Oryctolagus cuniculus: one gene and its partner. The protein of the gene in region 1 purifies or fractionates together with the protein of each later gene. This does not show direct contact. Links are inferred from orthologs where the notes say so. Each region holds a gene or a part of one and is shown on either strand. Other genes may lie near its edges.

Region 1 (4,268 bases):
AAGCAAGCTTCCATCTACTGATTCACTCCCCAAATACCCAAAATAGTTGGAGCTGAGCCAGGCCAAAGTCAGGAACTGCATCTGGGTCTTCCACCCAGGTGAGAAGGGCCCAAGCAATTGAGCCATCTTCCACTGCTTTAGCAGGTGCATTAGCAGGGAGCTGGATCAGAAGCAGAGGAGCCGAGACTTGAACTGGTGCTCTTATGGGATACCTGCAAAGCAAGCAGTGGCTTCACCACTGCCCCAGTGTGTTCTTTCATGCCAAGTGCATAGCAGGCTTTTCATTAGTTTGTGTGAATTGTCCTTCTTAGTAAGCACTGGATGCAGCGGGAGAGCTAGGGAAAGGGGCCCTGCTTGTGGCTGCTGGGGTTGGTCCTCAGGTGCACCTGTGTGGGTAAGTGGATATTCCTGCGTGTCCAGTGTCTGGAGAGAAAGTGAAAGTCAGCCTCCTGTCTGCAAGTCCTAATGTGTTTCTCGTTCCACACAAAGAGCTGAGTGTGGGGTCAGCACTGGGGCGCAGCAGATTAATGCTCTGCCTGTGCCGTCCGCATCCCATATGGCCACCGGTTCTAGTCCCGGCTGCTCCTCTTCCAGTCCAGCTCTCTGCTATGGCCTGGGAAAGCAGTAGAAGATGGCCCAAGTCCTTGGGTCCGTGCACCCGTGTAGGAGACCCAGAAGAAGCTCCTGGCTCCTGGCTTTGGTTGTGGCCATTTGGGGAGTGAACCAGCGGATAGAAGACCTCTCTCTCTGCCTCTCCCTCTCAATCTCTGCAACTCTGCCTCTCAAATAAATAAATAGAAAAGAGCTGAGTGTGTGGAATGTCTCTGCTGTACGAATGACAGCCTTTTCCAAACTCTCTGGTCTCAATTTTCACATCCAAGTAGTTCAGTAATATGATGTCCAGGATTTCTGATACAGGACATTGGGGGTAGGGATGGGAGAAGGCGGGCTAGGAGTTGCTAATCGCTGAACCCACTTGCTAAGTACCTGGGTGGTCACTATTCAGTTTTGTTGGAAGTTTTTCATAATAATCCACTTTTTCAGATAAGGAGTGGGGGAAATAATAGTCCCTTCCTCTTTCAAAGAAGCTGTGACAATGACAGTCACAGCCGCGCCGGCACGTTTAAGTCAGGCACTTCTGGGCAGCCGGGCACCCCGCACGGGCCTGGTCCGCTCCTGGGCGCGCGTCCGCAGGCCAATGGCAGCCAGCTGCCTGCAAGTAAGGGAATCCCTGGTCTCTCGGCGAACTCCGCCCCTTTCTCCCCGCCCTCGAAGCCCCGCCCTCCGAGGAAGCGCCGGGCCGGGGCCCAGCAGGTGTGGGGTTAAGGGAGCCCGTCTGGGGCCCCAGGAGCAGAAGCAACTGCAAGAGCGGCGGCTGTGGCGGGCCTGGCCCGGGGCCAGCTGGCGGGGAGCCCCAGGAGGGAGGAGGGGGGAGGAAGAGGGGAAGGAGGAGGAGGAGGAGGAGGAGAGGAGCAGTCAGCAGGCCCGAGGAGGCAGGACTTCCTGGTGTGGGGGTTGTCAACAGCCCCGAAAGAGAAAGACAGACGAGACTGAGAGCAGCCGAGGAGCGGAGACAGGTCCAGCGGGACCACGCGGGAGGAGGTGTGCGAGACCCGCTCGCCGGGACCACCGAGGCCGGCTGCCGCCTGGAGCCGCGGGGGGCTGAGCCGCACCCTCCCACAGCTATCGGGAGACCTCGGGCTTCGGAGGCGGCTCCTGGGCTCCGCCGAGGGGGCGCAGACTCCTTTTCTGGAGCGAAAACTTTCCACGGAGATGCCTCGCAGGGGGAGGTGCGGCCCCCGAACAGGACTGGGCTGCCCCTGACCGCCGCCTGCGTGCCCCGCGCCACCCCGGGGCCAGGAGGCCCCCGGGAAAAGACAGCCCAACACCTTGGGCGCCGGGACCCCCACGGTCAGCTCGGTGGCCGAGACCGAGAGGTAAGGCCCCCGGACTGGGCGTGGCGCGGCGCGGCGCTTGGGGCGCGGGCAGGGCCTGCCCCTGGGATGTGGGAACCGGGGTGCGGGGTGCCTGGAGGAGGCCCAGCAGAGTCCGCCAAGCGGCCTGGAGGTGCCGCCTCACCCTGGTTCACCCAGGACCTGGAGCCGGTGCGCTCAGGACAAACTGGGTCCCCTGAGTTTGAATCCCAGGCCAGAAATGCCCAAGTCTGTGTGCCCCACGCCGTGCTCTCTGGCCTCCCCTGCCTGTCTCTTTGTCTCTGGGTCTCTGGCGATTTCCCCTTCCTCTCCAATTCTGCTCCCCAGAGAGGAAGCCCCGGAGGTGGCCTGCCCACTGCTTTCTCACACACGCGCGCGCACCCGCGCTCTCTCTCTCTTTCCAGTTTGCAAACTCAGCTCTGGAGTTCGGCGGCGGCAGCAGGAAAAACCTGCCCCTGCTCCCCCCTCCCGCCACCTCCCCTACCCTGTTCTGTCATCAGCCGGGCACCCCCAGTTCCCACAAGGCCCTTTGGCCATGTCGGACCCAGATGTTCCCAGGGGCCCTGATGCCCCCGCAATGTGGCCCCCCTGTTCTAGGGGTGCCTGAGCCCCTTCAAAGAGCCCCAGTCCCCCAACCTCAGCCCAGTCCTGAGTTCCGGGGACCATGAGTGGAGGCAAAAAGAAGAGTAGTTTCCAGATCACCAGCGTCACCACGGACTACGAGGGCCCAGGGAGCCCCGGCGGCTCCGATCCCCCTGCCCCACCGGCCCCTGCGGGGCCCCCGCCCCGCCTCCCCAACGGGGAGCCCAACCCCGACCCAGGGGGCAAGAGCACCCCCCGGAATGGCTCCCCACCGCCTGGGGCCCCTGCCTCCCGCTTCCGGGTGGTGAAGCTGCCCCACGGCTTGGGAGAGCCTTATCGCCGAGGTCGTTGGACGTGTGTGGATGTTTACGAGCGAGACCTGGAGCCCCCCAGCTTCGGCCGGCTCCTGGAGGGGATCCGGGGAGCCTCGGGGGGCACTGGGGGTCGATCTCTGGATTCCAGGTTGGAGCTGGCCAGCTTGGGCCTGGGCGCCCCTATCCCACAGCCAGGCCTGTCTCAGGGCCCCACCTCCTGGCTGCGTCCGCCCCCCAGCTCCCCTGGACCTCAGGCCCGCTCCCTCACCGGCGGGCTGGGCCAGCTGTCGGTGCCCGGCAAGGCCAAGGTGGAGACACCCCTCCTGGCGGCCTCCCCACCGCAGCAGCGCCTCCCAGAGCCTGGGACTGGGGATAGCGCCGGCACATCCCTGGCTCCCGTGCCCCTGCCCTCCCTAAGGGTGGAAGTGGAGGCTGGGGGCCCGGCGGCAGGGACCCCTCCAGCGTCCCGAAGGAAAGATGGAGCCCTGCGACTGAGGATGGAGTTGGTTGCTCCAGAGGAGGCTGGACAGGTAAGAGCCAGGTTCCAGGTTGGGGGAGACTCCTGAGGGCCCTGCTCAGGCATCTCAGTCGGAGCCTCACCGCCATGCTCCCCTCCCCCGCCACTGTCATCTGTCTCATCCGTGGCACCTCTTTTCTCTCTCTGCCGTCGCACTTTGCTGTCCTTTGCTTTCTCCCTGGGGCTCCTCTTCCCTGCAAGCTACACCTTCTTTCTCTGTGGCCTTTAATTTGTTGCCTTTGGCTCTTGCCCTGTCTCCATATAGCCTTTAGCTACAATGGTCTGCTCACTTTGGTCACCACCTTCTGTCTTGGGGTCTCACTCCCTCTGGCTCCAGGTAATGAGGGTGGAGGCCCCGGGCTGGGTGACTCGGCCCCTGGTCGAGGAGTTGCCAGGGTTTGGGGCGGGGGGAGGCTCAGGGGGCAAAAGGTGGGATTTCTGCTCTCAACCTCTCCACGCAGCTCCATCCTAAGCGCGGGGTCTTCTCTCTGCCAGTGCCCAGCCCAGGCTCATCTCCACCCTTGCTGCAAGCCATGTTTCTCTGAGGCACTGAGGAACTGGGTGGATGGGGCACTGGACGGGATGGGGGGCTCGCCTCACCCCTGGTGGGGGGGTCTGTCTTGGTTCCTGCCTCTGTCCCCTCTGGGGTTGATAACAAGGGGTGGCCACCGTGGCGTGGGAGAGAGGCGGGAAGCAGCAGAGGAGGAGTTAAGTCCTGTGCGTTCTGCTTCCTGTCTCCAAAAGAGGAACAAGTCTGGGCTGGGGGCAGGATGCCTGGGTCCCTGGGGTGGGGGTGGGCAGCCAGGAATGTGGGGTTGGATGCTTCTGTTCTGCAGGAGAAAATAACACCTTGGACTGCGGGGTGAGGGGGAAGGCCTGGAGGGTGAGGATGAGAATGTTTCCCCCTTCCTGGCCTTGGGC
Region 2 (4,304 bases), on another chromosome or scaffold:
CTCCACCATGTTCTCCGGCATGAGGTCTGCGGGCCGCAGGATACACGGGCGGGCTGAGCCCCAGTCCTGGGGGACGCTGCCGCGCCAGGACGCCAGGCCCAGCTGGCCGGCCACTCACACTGGTGCTGGATGAAGCAGTGGGCCGCCAGGAGCTTCAGCGAGTGCACCTCAAACAGCACGCGGTGGAACAGCAGGCTGTGGGCCGAGGGCCGGCGGGCAGGGTCCCGGGCCAGGCAGGACAGGATGAACTCCTGAGGGCGTGGGAGGAGGCCTCCTGAAACCCCGCACCCCAGGGTGCAGCCCCTCTCGCCTCAGAGTCCCAGCGGGAGCCCTGGGCGGGAATACCCAGGGAAAGGCACCCCGAGGGCAGCCAAGCCAGCTCCGACTCTGAGCGGGAGGGCACCGGCACCGCGGGCAGTGACTGCCATTATCCGGGCACACAGGCGGGCCCTACCCACAGCCCGGCCCTGCTCAGGCTCTGCCTCAGGGGCTGCATGGACCGGGCCGCCCCAGCTCCCCAGGAGCCCCTGGGGCCGCAGAGCTAACCCTTGGCCTCCGACCCGAAAGGCTTGCGCCCTACACTTGCTTTGCCCACCCTGCCCCCATCCACCTGGAGCCCCAGGTCTGGAAGCTTGGAGGTCTCGGGGCTGGGCAGACGGCGTGACGCTGCGGCTCCCTCTCTGAGCCAGCCTCGGGTGTGTGTGTGGGGGGGGGGAGGTCCAGTGCGCCACGTGCCAAGGCTGTCTCTAGTGCCCTTGGCTTCACAGCGCTGATCCCCTAGGGTCCTAGGCCCCAAACCCCGCCTGGGGCCCTAGCAAGGTCCTCCTCGCCGGTGGGCTTTGTGCAAGTGGCTGGCACACCCCTCGGCGGCAGCCACAGGCCCAGAGCCCGGGCAGGCTGCTCACCCGCATGTTGGGGTCGCTCAGGGAATGCCGGGCCCGAGCCACGGCCTCCTCGGTGACCCGGGCGTCCCCGTTGGCCTGGATCTCCAGCACAGCCATCTGGGCGTGGAGAGGACAGCGGTGAGGCGGAGGCCGCCCGGCACGGAGGGGCGGGGAGCCAGGGCCAGTACCTCCAGCGCGCACATCCCGAAGGAGAAGATGTCCACGGCGGTGCCGTCGGCCACCTCTGAAAGGGAGACGCGAGGCCGGGCAGCCGGGCAGGGCCGGGCAGGGCCCGCGAGGCGCGCGCCGAGCCCCCGGACCCACCTCCGTACTCCGGGGGGAAGAAGTGCAGGTTCCGAAGCTGCTCGCGCTCCGCCAGGACCGGGCTGCGCAGATCGTCCGGGAGGGCTGCAGGGGAGCGCGGGCGCTGAGCGGACGCAACCTGGCCGCAGCCAAGGCTACCCCGAGCCCCACGCACCGTTGGAGAAGATGCGGTACCACACTGCACCGGCACCGGCGGGGAGACAGAGGCGTCAGCGCGAGGCCGCGGCGTCCACGGTCCCCGCCCGGCCCTGCCCCCGCCGCCGCGTCCGCGCCTGCACCCGCACCGGAGCCGATCTTGACCAGGCCGTTGTGCTGGATGAAGATGGTGTCGCTGGTCAGGTTGCCGTGAATGATCGGGGGGCTGCAGGCGTGCAGGAAGCTGCGGACGCGGGGCAGGGAGAGGCCGCGTGGTCAGGCTGCGCCCGGCCGGCGTGGGGCGCGGGCGCGCAGGCGCAGGCTCACCTGAGCGCCGACAGGATCTGCGTGCACCAGCGCTTCCAGGCCTAGCGGCGACGCACGACGCCATCGGGTGGGCTGGGGGGGGCGGCCGGGCCTGCGCAGCCCGCCCCCCCCCCGCGCCCACCCCCACCCTGACCCCTGGCCCGCCCCCTCCCCCATACCCGGGCGTTCATGGCCTTGTGATTCTTCTTGGTCTTTTTCAGGAACTGCTTGAGGCTGCCCGACGACACGTACTCCGTGATGAAGACCACCTGCGTGGCGGGCGGGCTCGCGGCGGGTCCCACGGCCCGCGCCTCGCCCGCCGCGCCTCGCCCGCACCCCACCGCGGCTCACCCGCGCGCGGGTCTCCGAGGCGTCCAGCCAGTAGCGGTGCAGCTTCACGATGTTAGGGTGGTCGACGAGCGCCAGCTGCTCGAACATGGTCAGGATCTTCTCCTGGACAGGGGGCGCGGTCAGGAGCAGCGAGGGGCGGCCCGGGGCGCGGCGCGGCGGGGCCGGGTCTCACCTCGTGGGCCGCGAAGGCCTTCCTGTCGCCGAAGTGCAGCTCGTTCCACACCACCTCCACCCCCTCCTCCGCGTCCATGGCCAGGAACGTGCTCTGGATCCCGGGCATGTTCCCCTGGTTCACCTGGGCGGGGCAGCGCGCGCCGCGGGTGGGACCGGGCCCTGCGCGCGCCCGTCCCTCAGCCCCGCGCGCTCGTGGCTGGGTCCCCCAGGAGCGGTGGGCCGCATGCCAGGGCCGGATTCCGGGGACGCACGGTGGTCCAGGGAGAAGACCGGTCCTCGGAGGCCCGGGGCTTCTCTCCAGGGCGCGCGCGTCGGGCCCGCGGCGTCCGAGGCCGCCAGCGTCGCCCGCCCGCGCCCACCTGCTCCCGCCGCTTCTGCCAGCGGCCGCACGGGCTCTCCTCCAGGATCTCGCTCTCGTCCTCGCTCTCGTCCTCTCGCTCCCTCTCACGGCCCCTCCTCGGCGTCGGCTCCGGGGCCGCCATGGCTGGGCGGGCAGGCACCGCCCTTCTCGCGCCCCAGCCCCGCGTCCCGCGCCCCGGCCCCCGCCCAGCCCCGCGCCCGCCCCGGCCGAGCCGAGCCGAGCCGCCGCCGCCGCCTGAAGCCCCCACCCGCGCTCGGGAATCCGGAGGCGCGGGCGCGCGGCGGGCCGGGGGGAGGAGCCGGAGGGCAGCGCCCGCGCCTGGCCCACTCTGCGGCTCCGCCCCACCCAAGGCTGCCCCATCCCTGGCCGCTCGGTCAGAGCCTGGCCCCTAACCACCCGAGGCCTCGTTCGGCTGCCCTGGGCCCGGGACGCTCCGGCTATGGGCAGGAGAGACCCCAGCGCCAGCCTGAGCCTCCTAGGCCGGGGCTTCCCTGGGGCGCAGCGCGGTCGGGAACCACCCACGACCACCTTGCTGCCCCGCATCCCTACGCCGCCACTGCCGTGCCCAGTGGGAGCACACTCCGCTGAGGTGGGGAGGTCCGGTGGTCCCCCGACCTGCACCACGTGGGAGACCCGGATGGAGCTCCTGGCTCCTGGTCTCTGCCTGACCCAGACCTGGCTGTTGTGGCCATTTGGGTTGGGAACCAGAGGATGGAAGTGTGTGTGCCTGTCTGTCACTCTGCCTTTTAGATAAAATGTCTTAAAAAAGAAAAGAAAAGAAAAACTCATCTCAACATGCACCCCCTCCCACACACACACATCTGCCGACTCCCTCCCTGGGGGCTGGGGTGCCTGCTTCCTCTCCGGCTGAAACTAGCTGAACTGCTGGGCTCCCCGAACCCTGGCATCTGACCCTTTCCCACGTCCACTGCTGTCACCGTTCTGACCAGCCTGTGCCCCACACCTCCTAAAGAACTGGCCCCGACCGGCTCCCAGGAACACCTCTTGGTGTGTCTGCGTTCCCCCCAGAGGCCTGGGGCCTTGCAGTGAGAACCTGTCCCTGTAGAAGCCCTGGGCATGAGGCCTGTGGAGCCTGCCCGGCTGGCCGCAGCCCAGGCCTCAGGAGACCAAGCCTCATCTGTCCGCATGGCCGCGCCGGATGGTATCTGTGGGGGCTCTCCTGCCCGCTCTGCCCTGTGTCCCCGGCCACGGTGAGGTACCCCTTCCAGTGTAACCGCTCTGAGTTCTGAGAGTCTGCTGGCTCGTGGAAGGCCAGGACGGTCTGGGGCCTCCTGCTGGTCTCTTCTCTCTCCCAACCAGGAGGGCCGGGCCGTTGGTCCTGCCGCACCCACCCCCACTGCTCCCACCTGCTCTCGGAGAGCCCACCCCAACCTCCCCGGGCCCCAGCAGCTGAGTCCTGCTGGACTGCTCTGCCCATTGCAGGCTCAGCCAGACCCGAGGAGGCTGGCAGGCTCCCGGCCCCGGAGCAGGTCCAGCCAGGGCGCTGTGTGGCTGAGGGTGCACTCCAGAGTTGGGTGCTTGTCACGGGAGACCTGGCCCACCCATCTTGCCAGGAGTCATGTCCTGGAGAGCAGAGGTACCCCCCCTGAGGTTGGGGGGAGGGTGTCGTGTGCAGCTGTGTCTGGGGCTTTGCCCTGCGGAGAGTGGTGCTCACCCTAAACAGAGAACAGAGCCCCAGAGGAGGCCCGCCCTGGAGCCAGCCCTGACCCAGGCCTGTCCTGTGCTGGCAGTGTTGTGGCACCCCGCCC

Evidence for each region.
Region 2: the proteins of TSC22D4 (region 1) and NRBP2 purify together in Homo sapiens (affinity purification with mass spectrometry; 3 studies listed by BioGRID and IntAct, counting the BioPlex papers as one, with this or other methods). This does not show direct contact. The link is inferred for Oryctolagus cuniculus from reciprocal best matches to the Homo sapiens genes TSC22D4 and NRBP2.

The regions. Positions count from the first base shown.
Region 1 is NC_091450.1:42,686,140-42,690,407, reverse strand, and holds the start of TSC22D4 (TSC22 domain family protein 4), read left to right. Parts: upstream 1-1,461; 5' UTR 1,462-1,937; intron 1,938-2,338; 5' UTR 2,339-2,598; coding exon 2,599-3,360; intron 3,361-4,268.
Region 2 is NC_091437.1:167,681,810-167,686,113, forward strand, and holds the start of NRBP2 (nuclear receptor-binding protein 2), read right to left. Parts: upstream 2,808-4,304; 5' UTR 2,657-2,807; coding exon 2,534-2,656; intron 2,296-2,533; coding exon 2,173-2,295; intron 2,103-2,172; coding exon 2,001-2,102; intron 1,919-2,000; coding exon 1,829-1,918; intron 1,712-1,828; coding exon 1,671-1,711; intron 1,588-1,670; coding exon 1,493-1,587; intron 1,387-1,492; coding exon 1,363-1,386; intron 1,293-1,362; coding exon 1,209-1,292; intron 1,129-1,208; coding exon 1,073-1,128; intron 1,002-1,072; coding exon 906-1,001; intron 252-905; coding exon 119-251; intron 27-118; coding exon 1-26. UniProt on the Homo sapiens protein: May regulate apoptosis of neural progenitor cells during their differentiation.